Anolis sagrei: one gene and its partner. The protein of the gene in region 2 interacts with the protein of the main gene of each other region in a pairwise test. Links are inferred from orthologs where the notes say so. Each region holds a gene or a part of one and is shown on either strand. Other genes may lie near its edges. The genes, in order: GNG3 and GNB5.

The links.
Region 1: the proteins of GNB5 (region 2) and GNG3 interact in a two-hybrid assay, tested with the Homo sapiens proteins (2 studies listed by BioGRID, with this or other methods). The link is inferred for Anolis sagrei from reciprocal best matches to the Homo sapiens genes GNB5 and GNG3.

Annotation. Positions count from the first base shown.
Region 1 is NC_090032.1:13,057,337-13,066,356, forward strand, and holds the start of GNG3 (guanine nucleotide-binding protein G(I)/G(S)/G(O) subunit gamma-3), read right to left. Parts: upstream 3,657-9,020; 5' UTR 3,369-3,656; intron 1-3,368. UniProt on the Homo sapiens protein: Guanine nucleotide-binding proteins (G proteins) are involved as a modulator or transducer in various transmembrane signaling systems.
Region 2 is NC_090029.1:20,396,652-20,405,865, reverse strand, and holds the start of GNB5 (guanine nucleotide-binding protein subunit beta-5), read right to left. Parts: upstream 3,813-9,214; 5' UTR 3,770-3,812; coding exon 3,644-3,769; intron 1-3,643. UniProt on the Homo sapiens protein: Enhances GTPase-activating protein (GAP) activity of regulator of G protein signaling (RGS) proteins, such as RGS7 and RGS9, hence involved in the termination of the signaling initiated by the G protein coupled receptors (GPCRs) by accelerating the GTP hydrolysis on the G-alpha subunits, thereby promoting their inactivation.

The DNA of each region.
Region 1 (9,020 bases), on a different chromosome or scaffold from region 2:
CTAGATCTGAACACTATGCTCCTCTTGATGCAGGCCAAAATCCCATTGGCTTTTTTTGCCGCCACATCACATTGTTGGCTCATGTTTAACTTGCTGTCCACGAGGATTCCAAGGTCTTTTTCACACGTACTGCTCTCGAGCCAGGCATTGTCCCCCATTCTGGATCTTTGCATTACCTTTTTTCCTGCTTAAGTGGAGTATCTTGCATTTGTCCCTGTTGAACTTCATTTTGTTAGTTTTGGCCCATCATCTCTCTAATCTGTCAAGATCGTTTTGAATCCTGCTCCTGTCCTCTGGAGTATTGGCTATCCCTCCCAATTTGGTGTCATCTGCAAACTTGATTATCCTGCCTTCTAACCCTTCGTCTAAGTCATTAATGAAGATCCTGATCAGGACCGGGCCCAGGACGGAACCCTGCTTGTGGCACTCCGCGCGTCACTTCTTTCCAGGATGAAGAGGAAGCATTGGTGAGCACCCTCTGGGTTCGTCCATTCAGCCAATTACGGATCCACCTCACCGTAGTTTTGCCTAGCCCACATTGGACTAGTTTGTTTGCCAGAAGGTCATGGGGGACCTTGTCGAAGGCCTTCCTGAAATCCAGGTACGCTCCATCCACGGCATTCCCCGCATCTACCCAGCTTGTAACTCTATCGAAGAAAGAGATCAGATGAGTCTGGCATGACTTGTTTTTGATAAATCCATGTTGACTATTAGCGATGACCGCATTTGTTTCTAAGTGTTTGCAGACCACTTCCTTAACAATCTTTTCCAGAATCTTGCCTGGTATCGACATGAGGCTGACCGGACATTGGTCATTGTTTGGGTCATCCTTTTTTCCCTTCTTGAAGATTGGGACCACATTGGCCCTCCTTCAATCTGCTGGAACTTCTCCCGTTCTCCAAGAACTCTAAAGATGGTTGCCAATGGTTCCAAAATGACTTCCGCTAGTTCCTTCAATACTCTTGGGTGTAGTTGATCTGGCCCTGGGGACTTGAACTCATTTAGAGCGGCCAGGTATTCCTGGAGGACTTGTTTCCCAGTTTGGGGTTGGATGTCCTCTAATCCCTCATCCACTCCATCTTGCTGAAGTTGAGGATGACTTTCTTTTTGTGAGAAGACTGAGGCAAAGAAGGCATTAAGTAGTTCTGCCTTTTCCTTATCCCCTGTCAGCATTACCCCATCTTCTCCTCAAAGAGGCCCTATCGCCTCCTTGTTCTTCCTTTTTCTACTCACATTTGCATGCTTTTGAACTACTAGGTTAGAAGAAGCTGGGGCTAACAGCAGGAGCTCACCCCACTCCCCAGATTCAAACCTGTGACCTTTTGGTCTGCAAGTTCAGCAGCTTAGCGCTTTAATCCGCTGCACCACTGGGGGCTCCTTCTTGTATATTTGCAATCAATTAATATATAATCATATTGCTAGTATAATGAAGGAAGCTGCCTACCCTTATTCATATGCTAACCATAGCAACGACCTACCACTGCCATTCCCCAATGTTAAATGTAAACAAATGCACATTCCTCCCACAGAGATTTTTTTTTAGAAAACATACTTTACCCTTTGAAAGATAATCTGTCACAGGAAAACGAACCTTTAGAACTCAATTATTAGAGCGATTCCTTTTCTTCCCATGGCCACTCATCTTCTTCCTATGAGGAACGGCTTAAGGAGCTTGGTATATTTAGTATTGAGATCAAGGCTGAGAGGGGGCATGACCACCATGTTTAAATATCCATATTATTATTGAGGATAGTATGATTTTAATACTGAATTCAATGTTTTACATGTTTTAATGTGTATTTAATTTTAATTTCTAATTTAAGTGTATTCTGTTTGTTGTCCAAAGGCAGTGAATAGGTTTTTTTTTTCTGTGTCAGGAGCAACTTGAGAAACCGCTAGTCGCTTCTGGTGTGAGAGTATTGGCTGTCTGCAAGGACGTTGCCCAGGGGATGCCCAGGTGTTTTGATGTTTTAACATCCTTGTGGGAGGCTTCTCTCATGTCCCTGCATGGGGAGCTGGAGCTGACAGAGGGAGCTCATTCGCGCTTACTCTGGATTTGAACCTTCGACCTGTTGGCACAAGGGTTTGACCCATTGCCTTGAGTCCCTTTTGAGGTAAACAAATAGAATAGTTGTTTGTACTGTATTGCTGATACTGGTTGTTAACCGCTCTGAGTCGCCTAATGGCTGAGAAGAGCGGTATACAAGTAAAGTAAATAATAAATAATAATAAATAAATAATAAATAAATATTTGAAAGGAGCTCACATTCTAGAAGGGGCAACAGAGCAATGGATTCAATTTGCAAGGAAGCAGATTTCACCTAAACATTAGGAAGATCTTCCTTACAGTAAGTGCTGTTTAGTGGTGGAATATGTTGTTGCCTTGCAGTCCAGTGGGGTCTCCAACTTTGGAGGGTGTTTAAGTAGAGACTGGATGGCAATCCGTCGGGAGGGCTTTGATTGTGTCTTCATGCATGACAGAGGCTTCGCTTGAATGACATCATCCTAGATTTGGAAGGGCCATCCAGTCCAACCCCATTCAGCCAGGCAGAAAGACACAATCAAAGCTCTCCTGCCAGATGGCCACCCAGAGTGGCCTTTCCCAACTCTTATGATTCTACGATTCAATCCAACCCCATTCTCTCTTCTGTCTGACATCCATCAGGAGGGCTTGGATTGTGTTTTTCCTGTATGGAACAGGGTTGAACTGGATGGCCCTGGGGTCTCTTCCAACATTAGGGTTCTATGACTCTGAGGCTGGATGGCCATCTGCCGGGAGGGCTTTGAATGTGCTTTTCCTGCAAGGAAGAGGATTGGACTGGATGGCCCTGGGGTCTCTTCCAACACTAGGGTTCTATGATTCCGAAGCTGGATGGCCATCTGTTGGGAGGGCTTTGAATGTGTTTTTCCTGCAAGGAACAGGGTTGGACTGGATGGCCCTTGGGTCTCTTCCAAGTCTAGGATTCTATATGCATCTCCTATTGCGTCCACTGAGAAAGGAGCCTATTCTGGTGGCCATTCTGAAGGCTGCCTTCACACAGAAATAGAGACTCATGCAGTAATACTATTCCTAAACTGTAGGAGGTGATGGGGAGGGAACAAATGAGAGACAGGGAGAGGAAAACAGAAATGCTTCTCTCCATCCCACCCCACCCAAACCACCCAGCCAAGGCATATATTGTCTTTGTCTCTGTTAGAACAGATACAAAATGATATAGAGTAGCCATGCAACCCAGATCCTTATGTTTGCCTTAAAAAAAAAAGCCACTTTCCCTAGAGAGTCTTCACCTACCATTGATCTCATGCATATAAGCCTCCAACCTGGACTGAGCCCCAACCTCCAAGACAAACCCTTTCGTTGCTATTACCTGGACAAAAAGAAGGAGATCAAAATGGTATTCTTCAGCCCTTTGAAGCTCTGGATAAGGTGGGCGACTCTTCTCTATCCCCTATCAATACTGGGAAATTGTAGAGCGAGGAAAAGGGAGGGTTCTGGCAGCCTTTGCCTGCTTGGTTCTCCTCCTCTGCCACCAAATTGATGCCTCGCTGTCTCCCCCAAATGGCTCTGCTCACCTTTCCTAGGCTTAGTTCAATAGTCCAGCACCTTGAGGATGCTGCAAAACCCCTCAATGCTGGGACCGAACCATCTCTGTGTCAGAGAAAGGGGTGGCAGTACCCACACCCAGATAGGCTTCAAGGGGAAGCAAGAGATTTGTTTACTTTTTAATACATTCCAAAAGTGTGGTTTTGCCACCAAAAGGAAGCCACGAAGGAGGAAGCACAGAGGCAAAGAGGACGCAGCACACAAACAGGACCAGAAACATAGAGGTTCGGGTGAATGCACCCCCTATGCAGGTAATGGTACGAACACATGAAAGCTGCAGTACATAGCAGCATCATCATCATCATTGCCTCTTTCATTTGGAAATCTGACATCAGTGCACTGCTTGCTTTTTCTTGCTCTTTCTCTTCCTTCCTCTTCTCTCTCTTGGTTCCAAAATCTATGACAATATGTGATTTCACCATCCTTTTTGATAAGGAAAGAAAGGACATTTTGCTGGCTCTCAGGTGAAGTGTTTGGTGTCGGAATCCAGATGCCTTAAAGAGCCAGACACAGGAGTATAGTCCAAACAATAGTTTATTAAAGCAAAGTAAATAGGACCCAGAGACACTTGCTTCAGTGCCTCTGGTCAAAACTCAAAGTTTGTAGCAATTTACAGCTTGAAAAACGAACTCAGAAAATAAGCCAGATTAAACTGGCAAAAAAACCCCGGATTAAACAAGAGTTTGTGCAAAACACACCAAAATCTCACAGTTCAAAGAAAACAAGCAAACAAAGAGCTGTGAAGATAAGCCGTTGTCCAGTAGCAGTCCAAAGTCGAAGAAATCTCAGTTGAAAGTTCCAAATTCCACAAGGCCGTATCGTCAAAACAGTCCGAAGTCAAGGAGAGAGGAAATCCGCACTTACGAGAATCCAAGCAAACAAAGCAAACAGCAACCTGCAGATCCAGGACCCAAGCCCAACAGGAAAGCGGCAGCGACAAGACCCAAGTCACGAAACCAACCAAGCAAAGTTCTATAATTCCAGTGCCTTTATTTATCTTACAGCTCATCATCCGATGATGAGCTGCCCTCCATCCCGTCCTCATTGCTATCAGCTGGCTTAGCCTCTACAGCTGAACGCCAATGCCCATCCCTCCAACTCTTTCACTTCTTGTCAAGACTTAGGTCTCCCCATGAATCCACAGTATCACCAGATTGCCAATCCCCGTCACCAGAAAACCCCACAAAAGTGCCACTAAACGTTGGTTGAGTACACACATTCTGAACCTCCTGTACCTTGGTCCAATCCAGTGGTTCCTCTTCATCCCCATCACTCCCATCACTGCCGTTTCACCGTCCACTTGTGACACCGAGTCCTTTGATGGAGTACTTCCTCATTCTTCTGCACTCTGCTGGAAGGATTTTTATGGCATTGTAAATTAGTCTCTCCACATAAAGCAGTACCTAAATTTCCTACTTGACAGATGCAACTGTTGCATAGGTCAGCAGCAAGCTAGACTCCATACTCGATAATTTCCATCAATGCCTTGAGGTCATTACTGGATGGTTGTGTGCCAGCAGGTTGAGGGTGAATCCAGCGAAGACGGAGATCCTTTGGTTGGGTCGCCCAGACGGAGGAGTGATCTGGTTGCCTACCCTGGATGGTGTGACATTATGCCCGTCATCTTTGGTAAAGAGTCTGGGAGTCTTACAGCCTGTGCTGGACGGGGTCACACTCCCCCTAAAAGCACAGGTACGCAGTCTGGGAGTTCTCCTGGATTCATCGCTGAGCCTGGAACCCCAGGTTTCAGCGGTGGTCAGGGGAGCATTCGCACAATTAAAACTTGTGCGCCAGCTGCGTCCGTACCTTGGGAGGGCTGACTTGGCCACGGTAGTACACGCTTTGGTTACATCCCGCTTAGATTACTGCAACGCTCTCTATGTGGGGTTGCCTCTGAAGACTGCCCGGAAGCTGCAGCAAGTACAACGCGTGGCAGCCAGATTGCTAACGGGTGCGGGGTACAGGGAGCACACCACTCCGCTCTTACTTGAACTCCACTGGCTGCCGATTAGCTTCCGAGCACAATTCAAAGTGCTGGTGTTAACCTATAAAGCCCTAAACAACTCCGGCCCTGTTTACCTCTCCGAACATATTCTCCCCTACGAACCATCAAGACCACTAAGATCGTCTGGAGGGGCCCTGCTCTCGGTCCCTCCGCCTGCACAAGCACGGCTGGTGGGGACGAGGGACAGGGCCTTCTCAATGGTGGCCCCTCGACTTTGGAACTCCCTGCCATTAGAGATCAGAACTGCCCCCTCCCTCATGACGTTCAGGAAACTAACAAAGACCTGGTTGTGGAACGCGGCATTTGACAACTGATTTAATTTTTTGCCCACATGAAAGGAGGATGATGAATGGGATTGTGATGGTGTCGGACGAGTTGGCTCTTTTAACTGTGATGATAATGTTTTAACGTGTATAGTGCTGATATTTTAACCGTGTAATGAAGTGGCATTGTGTTGTTATTGTATTTTTTTGTATGTTAACACATGTTGTGAACCGGTCCGAATCCCTCTTTGAAGGTGAGAGGGTCGGTATATAAAACCTCGAAATAAATAATAAATAAATAAATCTTTTTAGACCCTCTGCTGACAGTGGAGGCCCAGGCTTCCACTGCGAGCAGAGTTGCATTTTTCCATCTGTGTCAGGCTAGGCATCTGGCTCCCTATCTGTCCAGGGACGACCTGGCCTGAGTTGCATTGGCCTTTTTAGCTGTTAACCTAATGTTCAGCTTGTGGCATATTAAGACACCCAGATCCCTTTCACGTGGGCTATTTCCAAGCCATCCTATAACTGTGAATGCCTACGTTTGGTACTTTAGTATCACGTTGGCCTTTTGAGCTGCAGCATCACCTTGTTCAGCATGTGTTCTACTATGGGCCCTTCCAGACATGCCCTATATCCCAGGATGTAATCCCAGGTTTTTTATTTATCCCAGATTATCTGGCATTGGGGACTGATATAACCCAGTTTAAATCAGACTCTGCTGATTTATTGCTCTACTCACATTTGCATGTTTTCGAAGTGCTAGGTTGGCAGAAGCTGCATAGAAGCTGCTAACAGTGGGAGCTCACCCCGCTCCGTGGTACCTATTGCTCTACTCACATCTGCATGCTTGCAAACTGCTAGGTTAGCAGAAGCTGGGGCTAACAGCAGGAGCTCACCTCGCTCTGCAGAACCTATTGCTCTACCCACATTTGCATGTTTGCGAACTGCTAGGTTGGCAGAAGCTGAGGCTAACAGCGGGAGCTCACCCCACTCTGCAGAACCTATTGCTCTACCCATATTTGCATGTTTGCGAACTGCTAGGTTGGCAGAAGCTGGGGCTAACAGCGGGAGCTCACCCCACTCTGCAGAACCTATTGCTCTACCCACATCTGCATGTTTGCGAACTGCTAGGTTGGCAGAAGCTGGGGCTAACAGCAGGAGCTCACACTGCTCTGCGGTACCTATTGCTCTACTCACATTTGCATGTTTTTGAAGTGCTAGGCTGGCTGAAGCTGGGGCTAACAGTGGGAGCTCGCCCCGCTCCACAGTACCTATTGCTCTACTCTCATTTGCATGTTTGCGAACTGCTAGGTTGGCTTCTGCTGGGGCTAACAGCAGGAGCTCACACTGCTCCGCGGTACCTATTGCTCTACCCACATTTGCATGTTTGCGAACTGCTAGGTTGGCAGAAGCTGGGGCTAACAGTGGGAGCTCATCCCGCTCCACAGTACCTATTGCTCTACTCACATATGCATGCTTGCAAACTGCTAAGTTGGCAGAAGCTGGGGCTAACAGCAGGAGCTCACCTCGCTCTGCAGAACCTATTGCTCTACCCACATTTGCATGTTTGCGAACTGCTAGGTTGGCAGAAGCTGGGTCTAACAGCGGGAGCTCACCCTGCTCCACGGTACCTATTGCTCTACTCACATCTGCATGTTTGGAAACTGCTAGGTTGGCAGAAGCTGGGGCTAACAGTGGGAGCTCACCCTGCTCTGCAGAACCTATTGCTCTACTCACATTTGGTCAGCAAGTTCAGCAGCTCAGTGGTTTAACCCGCTCTGCCACGGGGAGGGGGGGCTCCTAATAATAATAATAATAATAATAATAATAATAATAATGGAGGCTGTTCTCCTACAAAGACCCTGAGTGGGCAGAGACTGGTTTGGGTCCCAGGCCCATCCCCATTGATGGGCATGATGGGGCCCTTGAGAGGCAGCCTGCCCATCAGAGGATGCTGCTCTGGACCACAGCGGGCCCTGCTCCGTTGCCATGGCGACGGGAGGCGAGTGGGCTGCATCCCTGAGGCCACGTGACTTGCAAGATGCTTGTGAGCAGAGCCATCCGCTCTCAGAAGAGCCCGCCCCCTTCGTCCCCCTCCCTCCCCAAAGGGGGCGGGGCTTAAACCCGGAAGAGGCTCAGCTGGATTTGGGGAGAGGAGGAGAGGCAGGAAGAGGCGGTGGCTGCTGCTGCGACCCTGCGACCAACTCAGGTTTACTTCTTCTCACATTTTCCCTCCCCGCAGCTCGCCTAGCCCAACCCCTATTCTGCCATGCGGGGAGACACAATCAAAGGTCTCCCGACAGATGGCCTCCCAGAGAAAGAGGCTCCATTTAATGTTCTCTCTGTTTTGTGACTGGGGCCTGGGCGTTTCTCTTGACCCTGGCATTAGCAAGGATGAGCCATATTTAAATGGAGTGTCCTTCTCTAGAGGTGTTTAAGCATAGGCTGGATGGATGGCCATCTGTTGGGAGGGCTTTGATGGTGTCCCTGCCTGGAAGAATGGGGTCGAACTGGATGGCCTTTGAAGGTCCCATCAAACTCTGATTCTATAATAATATTAATAATAATAATAATTAATAATAATAATGGGTTGTTGTAGGTTTTTCCGGGCTATACGGCCATGTTCTAGAGGCATTTTCTCCTGACGTTTCGCCTGCATCTATGGCAAGCATCCTCAGAGGTAGTGAGGTCTGTTGGAAGTAGGAAAATGGGTTTATATATCTGTGGAATGACCACGGTGGGACAAAGGACTCTTGTCTGCTGGAGCTGGGTGTGAATGTTTCAACTGACCACCTTGATTAGCATTTAATGGCTTGGAAATGCCTGGGGGAAACTCTTGTAGAGAGGTGATTTGATGTGCCTGTTTGCTCTCTGTTGTTTTGCTGTTGTAATATTTGAGTTTTTTAATACTGGTAGCCAGATTTTGTTCATTTTCATGGTTTCTTCCTTTTCTGTTGAAATAATAATAATAATAATTCTCTTTCTGAAAGCTGTAATTTAATGCTAAACATGTGCTTAACTTGGAGCTGCAGGCAATAAATAATAATAATAATAATAATAATGATTTAAGTGCTACTCTTTGTTTTAATGCTGGTCACTGATGGAAATTGAATATTCAGGCAACTCTTGGATTCTATAATCATCATCA
Region 2 (9,214 bases):
ATGAGGATCCGCCTGCTGGCTCCTGGATTCTGACCCCCCCTCCCCACAAAAGGAGAAGACTCCGCCCACTCGGGGGTGATTGACACCCTGGCCCCGCCTCCCCCTGGAAAGCAGGAGAGCAAAGGGAAGGAGCAGCACTCCCCCCAGCCAGGCTCTTTAAGCATTATTATTATTATTATTATTATTATTATTATTATTATTATTTAATAAATACAACTCCACCTGAGCTCTGCGAGTGCAGCATTTTTGGGGTTTCTTTTACATGAATGGGCTTTGCTTCCAGCTCCCCTGTAGATACCAAAGTCTATAGATGTTCAAGTCCTATTATTATTATTATTATTATTATTATTAAAATACAACACTGCCTGAGCTCTGCAAGTGCAGCATTTTTTCCATGCAAACTTGGGGTTTCTTTTACATTACAGTGGCCCCTGGTATCCACTGGGGTTTGCTTCCTATTATTATTATTATTATTATTATTATTATTATTATTATTATTTAATAAATACAACACTGCCTGAGCTCTGCGAGTGCAGCATTTTTGGAGTTTCTTTTACATTGCAGTGGCCCCTGGTATCCACTGGGGTTTGCTTATTAATAATAGGACTTGAATTATTATTATTATTATTATTATTATTATTATTATTTATTAATACATTAAATACAACACCATCTGAGCTCTGCGAGTGCAGCATTTTTGAGGTTTCTTTTACATTACAGTGCCCCTGGTATCCACTGGGGTTTGCTTCCAGACCCCCATAGATACAAACATCTATAGAAATTCAAGTCCTATTCTTATTGTTATTATTATTATTACTATTATGTATTAAATACAACACCACCTGAGCTCTGCGAGTGCAGCATTTTTCCATAAAAATTTGGGGTTTCTTTCACATTAAAGTGTCCCCTGGTATCCACTGGGGTTTGCTTCAAGCCCCCCCCCCCCCCCCAGATACCAAAATCTATAGATATTCAAGTCCTATTGTTATTATTATTTATTAAATACAAAACCGGCTGAGCTCTGCAAGTGCAGCATTTTTGGGGTTTCTTTTACATTACAGTGGTCCCTAGTATCCACTGGGGTTTGCTTCCAGCCCCCCCCCCCCCACCAGATACCAAAATCTATAGATATCAAAGTCCTATTATTATTATTATTATTATTATTATTATTATTTAATAAATACAACTCCACCTGAGCTCTGCGAGTGCAGCATTTTTGGGGGTTTCTTTTACATTACAGTGCCCCTGGTATCCACTGGGGTTTGCTTCCAGACCCCCATAGATACCAAAATCTATAGAAATTCAAGTCCTATTATTATTAATAATAGGACTTGAATTATTATTATTATTATTTAATTATTATTGTTAATTAATAATAATAACAACAACAATAATAATAAATTAAATACAACACCGCCTGAGCTCTGCAAGTGCAGCATTTTTCCATGCAAACTTGGGGTTTCTTTTACGTTACAGTGGCCCCTGGTATCCACTGGGGTTTGCTTCCAACCCCCCGTAGATACCCGAATCTATAGATATTCAAGTACTATTATTCTTATTATTATTTATTAAACACAACACCGCCTGAGCTCTCCAAGTGCAGCATTTTTCCATGTAAACTTGGGGTTTCTTTTACATTACAGTGGCCCCTGGTATGCACTGGGGTTTGCTACCAGTCCCTCGTAGATACCAAAATCTATAGATACTCAAGTCCTATTATTATTATTATTATTATTAAAAAACAACACCGCCTGAGCTCTGCAAGTGCAGCATTTTTCCATGCAAATTTGGGGTTTCTTTCACATTACAGTGGCCCCTGGTATCCACTGGGGTTTGCTTCCAGCACCCCATAGATACCCAAGTCTATAGATATTCATGTCCTATTATTATTTATTAAATACAACACCTCCTGAGCTCTGCGAGTGCAGCATTTTTGGGGCTTCTTTTACATTACAATGGCCCCTGGTATCCACTGGGGTTTGCTACCAGTCCACCGTAGATACCAAAATCTATAGAAATTCAAGTCCTATTATTATTAATAATAGGACTTGAATTATTATTATTATTATTATTATTATTAATTATTATTATTAATAATAATAATACATTAAATACAACAGCATCTGAGCTCTGCGAGTGCAGCATTTTTGGGGTTTCTTTTACATTACAGTGGCCCCTGGTATCCACTGGGGTTTGCTACCAGTCCCCCGTAGATACCAAAATCTATAGATATTCAAGTCCTATTCTTCTTCTTATTATTATTATTATTACTATTATGTATTAAATACAACACCACCTGAGCTCTGCGAGTGCAGCATTTTTCCATAAAAATTTGGGGTTTCTTTCACATTAAAGTGTCCCCTGGTATCCACTGGGGTTTGCTTCAAGCCCCCCCCCCCCCCAGATACCAAAATCTATAGATATTCAAGTCCTATTGTTATTATTATTTATTAAATACAAAACCGGCTGAGCTCTGCAAGTGCAGCATTTTGGGGGTTTCTTTTACATTACAGTGGCCCCTGGTATCCACTGGGGGTTGCTTCCAGCCCCCCCGTAGATACCAAAATCTATAGATGTTCAAGTCCCATTATTATTATTATTATTATTTATTAAATACAACACTGCCTGAGCTCTGCAAGTGCAGCATTTTTGGGGTTTCTTTTACATTACAGTGGCCGCTGGTATGCACTGGGGTTTGCTACCAGTCCCCCGTAGATACCAAAATCTATAGATATTCAAGTCTTGTTGTTATTATTATTTATTAAATACATCGCCAGAGCTCTGCAAGTGCAGCATTTTTCCATGCAAACTTGGGTTTTTTTCACATTACAATGGCCCCTGGTATCCACTGGGGTTTGCTTCCAACCCCCCCCCCCCTGTAGGGTTTGCTTCCAACCCCCCCCCCCCCGTAGATACCCGAATCTATAGATATTACTATAGATAATAAATTATTATTTATTAAATACAACAGCGCCTGAGCTCTGCGAGTGCAGCATTTTTCCGTGCAAATTTGGGATTTCTTTTACATTACAGTGGCCCCTGGTATCCACTGGGGTTTGCTTCCAATTATTATTATTATTATTATTATTATTATATTGAGTATTTGTGCCAAGTTTGGTCCAGATCTACCATTGCGTGAGTCCACAGTGCTCTCTGGATATAGGTGAACTACAACTCCCAAACTCAATGCCCATCAAACCCTTCCAGTGTTTTCCATTGGTTATGGGAGCCAAGTTTGGTTCAAATCCATCGCTGGTGGAGTTCAGAATGCTCTTTGATTATAAGTGAACTATAAATCCCAGCAACTTCAACTCCCAAATTACTAAATCAATCCTCTCTCAACCCCACTAGCATTCACATTTGGGTGTATTGGGTATTTGTGCCCAGTTTGGTCCAGTGAATGAAAATGCATCCTGCATATCAGATATTTACATTACAATTCATAACAGTAGTAAAATGACTGTTATGAAGTAGCAACGAAAACAATATTATGGTTGGGGGTCACCACAACATGAGGGACTGTATTAAGGGGTCGTGGCATTAGGAAGGTTGAGAACCACTGGTTTAAATATTTAAAGCATTCAAAGGAGATTGCAAGATATATTCCACCCTTCCCGCAATGAAAATAGATGCCGTCCCGTACCATTCCCACACATAGTGAGCAGTAGCTGAGTTTCTCATTTTTGCGGTAAATCTCTCGGAGGGCCCGGTTTTGGGCACATTTGTCGCATGGACCAAACACATTGGCCAAAAACGTCTGGTCACACATCTTTGCGAAGTGCTGGAGCTGGAAGAGAGAGAGGGAGAGAGAGAAAAGAGAGAATGAAAGCAGGTGGATGCTAGACGTGAGGCACAAAGCCTTTGCATTTTAAACAGCACTGGCACTAACAATTTAAAAGTCCAGCAAATTGTTATTTGCTTCGTTGTGTTTTAACTGTCAAGGATGTGAAGGACTACTTGCAGTTCTGCAAAAATAACATAACCAGCTTGAGGTTAAAATTACACCCCAGGTGAAAAATGTCTTGACCTAGCGCTGCCTTTCAAGTGTCTTAAAGAATCTGCAACTCCTGCAGGCAGAGTAAACGCCGCTCTTTGAATGCAGGAAAATTCTGAATTCCTGCCACTTGTGTTCAAGATGCCTAAAGACAACCGCCAATTATGGCACAATTGATTATTACAACTTTGTTATTTGTTGCCTTCACGTAGTTCCAGCTCACGGCTTCCCTAAGGTAACCATTTCAGAGTTTTCTGGCAAGCTTTGTTCAGAGGAAGTTTGCCATCTCTGAGGATAAAAGAAGCCAAAAGGCCCAAGAGCAGAGAGTGGGTTTCAGTGGCCAAGAAGGGATTCAAACCGTGGTCTCCCACAGACTTAGAACTAACGCAATGTGAACTATGAGGATTATCCAGAAAGTTTAAATAAATCCAGAAAGGATTTTTTTAAAATATAAAGAATGAATGTATTTTAATAACACTTACATAGATTGTAGTCTAGGTATTACATTATTTTCCTACATAATCACCATTCAGTTCAATATATTTTGTCTTCCGTGGGATGAGTTTTTGATGCCTGTGTCACAGAAGTTTCCCTCCATCTTTTTCAGCCAGTTTGTCACTTCGATTTTCACCTCCTCGGCATCGGAAAAGTGTTTTCCACCACGGTGTTCCTTCAATTTAGTGAACAGACTCACTGGGTGTGAGATCAGGGTGGGTTAAAACATCCCAACCAAACAAAGTCAGCAACTTTTGTGTTGTATGAGCGGTGTGCGGACAGGCATTGTCATAACTCCCACCGTCAGCATCCCACGGTGTTTGTTTTGGACAGCTCTGTGAATTTTTGTCATGGTCTTACAATATATTCCATACCCATTTTGTCCCATGCTGTCTTGACATTACGTCCTCTCCATAAACTGAAATGATTTTGCGATGCATCATAGCTGCGTTCATGCCCTTAGCTTTTAGGTATCACATTACAGCGCAAACTTCGCACATTACAGTGCAAACTTCGGAACGAGGATGCTCATCTCTAACCTTTACCACAAAGTTAGTCGATGAGCTACTGACGACTGGCACTGCTCGTTCTCTTCCGCTGTCTTCCTGCTACACAGCAGTGATACCAATTTCCCCCAAGAAAATTCCCCATGAGGATTAACGTGCCTTGTAACCTTACTTTCCGAATAACATTCGAACTTTGAAGGCCATGTTTAAATGCACTTGGAGGGAAATGGAATGAGGAAGCTCATCTCTAACCTTTACCACAAAGTTAGTCGATGAGCTACTGACGACTGGCACTGCTCGTTCTCTTCCACTGACTTCCTGCTATACCAATTTCCCCCAAGAAAATTCCCCATGGAGTTAACGTGCCTTGTAACCTTACTTTCTGGATAACACTCGTACTTTAAAGGCAATGTTTCAATGCAATGTAATCCTGGGAATTACAGTTTGGTGAGGCATAGCACTCTTTGGCAGAGAAGGATAAAGGCCTTGTAAAATGTCAACACAGATTGTTCTGTAGCATTTTTAAAACATTGCCTTTTTTACAAATTGGGTAATTGGCAGTGGGTTTGGGGGGGTTGTAGGTTTTTCGGGCAGTATGGCTATGTTCTAGAAGCATTCTCCCCTGACATTTCGCCTGCATCTGTGGCAGGCATCCTCAGAAGATCTGTTGTGAGATCTCAGTGGTTTTTTCCTTGCATGTAAATACAGGTATACTTCACTTTGGGTGCTTAAAATATATTAATGGATGTAGAATTATTTGAGTCTAAATGTACATTCTTTGCACTAGGTTTTATTTGGCAGATCTGGCTTCTAAGCAAAAAGGAAAAACAAATTAAATCCCACAAGTCTGTCCATCCCTGAGGCATATTGGCAATCCCTGATCTTTGATCCAAGGAGCGTAAGTCATATCATAAGACTCCCAACGAGGAATAAGAATATGATACTTCATTGTTGTTGTTCATTCGTTCAGTCGTTTCTGACTCTTTGTGACCTCATGGACCATCCCAGGCCAGAGCTCCCTGTCGGCCGTCACCATCCCCAGCTCCTTCAAGGTCAATCCAGTCACTTCAAGGATGCCATCCATCCATCTTGCCCTTGGTCACCCCCTCTTTCTTTTTCCTTCTATTTTCCCCAGCGTCATTGTCTTCTCTAAGTTTTCCTTTCTTCTCATGATGTGGCCGAAGTACTTCATCTTGGCCTCTACTTTCCTTCCCTCCAGTGAGCAGTTGGGTTTTATTTCCTGAAGTATGGACTGGTTGGATCTTCTTGCGGTCCAAGGCACTCTCAGAACTTTCCTCCAGCACCACAGTTCAAAAGCATCTCTCTTCCTTCGCTCAGTCTTCCCTATGGTCCAGCTCTCACATCCGTAGGTGACTATGGGAAATACCATTGCTTTGACTATGCGGATCTTTGTTGCCAGTGTGATGTCTCTACTCTTCACTATTTTGTCGACATTGGTCCTTGCTCTCCTCCCGAAAAGTAAGCATCTCCTGATTTCCTGGCTGCACTCTGTGTCTGCACTCATCTTTGCACCTAGAAATATAAAGTCTGTTGCTGCCTCCACGTTTTCTCCCTCTATTTCCCAGTTGTCAATCGTTCTTGTTGCCATAATCTTGTTTTTTTATGTTTAGCTTCAACCCAGCGTTTGCATTTTCTTCTTTCATCTTGATTAGAAGGCTCCTCAGCTCCTCCTCGCTTTCGGTCATCAAAGTGGTGTCATCTGCATATCTAAGGTTGTTAATGTTTCTTTCAGCAATTTTCACCCCAGCCTTGCCTTCGTCAAGCTCTGCACATCCTTGCATGATGTGTTCTGCATACAAGTTGAATAGGTTGGGTGAGAGGATACAACCCTGCCGTGCGCCTTTCCCAATCTTGAACCAATCTGTTGTTCCGTGGTCAGTTCTTACTGTTGCTACTTGGTCCTTATACAGATCCCTCAGGAGAAAGACAAGGTGATTTGGTATGCCCATACCACCAAGAACATGCCACAATTTATGATGATCCACACAGTCAAAGGCTTTAGAATAGTCAATGAAACAGAAATAGATGTTTTTCTGAAACTCCCTGCCTTTCTCCATTCTCCAGCATCCAGATATTGTCAATCTGGTCTCTGGTTCCTCTGTCTTTCCCAGCTCGTCCATCTGGCAACTCTCTCTCCATGTCTTGCTGGAGTCTTCCTTGCAGGATCTTGAGCATTCCCTTCCTGGCATGAGAAAGAAGAGCCACTATGCGGAAGTTTGAGCAGTCTTTAGCATTTCCCTTTGTTGATATGGGGATAGAAGTTGATTTATCTGGGGAGGCCCTTCTTTTGCCCCTGCCAGCTTCACAAGCTCGCCCGGTAAGCACTAGGGAGAGAGCTTTCTCCTCTGTGGCCCCCCGACTTTGGAACTCACTACCTGGAGAAATTAGGGAAGCCCCTACCCTACAAACCTTTAAAAAGGACCTTAAAACCTGGCTCTCCCGCTGCGCCTTTGGAGTATGTATACAATCCCAGACTACTGCTTAGCCTCAACCTTCTGTCATTGGCATATATGTTGTCCCCCGCTCTGTGGGAAAGCTTGATTCCACAACCCCCACTATAATGAGCCCTCCTCCGCAAATAATCTGTCTCTTTTTTATCTCGCCTGAGTTTTAAAATAATAATAATAATAAAACTTTATTTGTACCCTGCTACCATCTCCCCAAGGGACTCGGTGCAGCTTACATGAGGCCAAGCCTGCAGTACATCAATAAAACGACAGCAGTAACAAAATAATCAATACAAAACAGTAAAATAAATCTCAAAACAAAAATAAACAATAAACAATAACAATGAACAATAACATACAAGCATTTAAAAGTTTTAATTAGTCTCTCTTTTAATCATTACATGTAGCCCATCCATTGTTATTGTGATTGCGTCTATTGTAATTTTATATTGTTATATATTTACATGTTTATTTTATTATGATGTTGTTGTTTACTGTTTGCATTTTTGGTTGTGTTTTGGTTTTATTTTATTGTAATTTGTTGTTCGGGCTTGGCCTCATGTAAGCCGCTCTGAGTCCCCACTGGGGAGATGGTGGTGGGGTATAAATACAGTATTGTTATTATTATTATTATTATTATTATTATTATTATTATTATTATTATATTTTTCCAGTCTGAAGGCCATTCTTGTGTTTTCCATATTTGCTGGCCTATGGCATGCATCACCTTGACAGCATCATCTTTCAGGATTTTAAACAGATACTTCACGACTCTACACAAAATTCAAGAAAGCAGTCACTTTGTTACCTCAATCAAAGAAGACACAGCTCTGAGTAACTATCTATAGTAAACATATTTTTAAGTATTTATGCTAAATAATAAACAATATAACAATCATCTCAATATTTCTCTATGGCTTCTAGATATGTTTGATATTAATAGTATTTTAAATGCTCCTTACCTTCTTTTATCAGAGCAAAGACTTCAAGATGCCGGGACGGCAAGGAACTGACCAGTTTCAACTGGACACATAAGAGGACGATCCTAATGCTGTGATAATCGGCTTAGACAGTCAGAAGGCACACGCCTGGGTTTTGTATTGCAACACCTTTCCTGCTGCTGGTTTATGGTTCCACAGAAGTGAATATTTTTTTCTCAAGTCATGGAAGAAACTGTCATGGGTGAAAGAAAAATAATAATAATCCAGGAAGACCAGTCCATAACGTTGACAGAAATGTGCCCAGTTTGAAGTTTGGGGATTGGCAGAAAAAAAATTAAATGCAAAGATGGAGGATGCCTGGCTTGACAACAATATGTGTGGAAAAGATCTTGGAGTCCTCGTGGACAACAAGTTAAACATGAGCCAACAATGGGTTGTTGCAGGTTTTTTTTCGGGCTATATGGCCATGTTCTAGAGCAGTGTTTCTCAACCTGGGGGTCGGGACCCCTGGGGGGGGGGTCACAAGGGGGTATCAGAGGGGTAGAGGCAGCCCTAGGTAAATTTCAACGGTAAGCAAACAGTATTTTGGCGCCCACCCCCCAACCAATCACTGATACATATTTTCTGTTCATCATGGGAGTTCTGTGTGCCATATTTGGTTCAATTCCATCTTTGGTGGAGTTCAGAATGCTCTTTGATTGTAGGTGAACTATACATCCCAGTAACTACAACTCGCATATGTCAAAGTCTATTTTCCCCCAAGAGCGCCTCAAGAGCGCCCCTGGGCAAAATCAACTCCACTGCAAATGC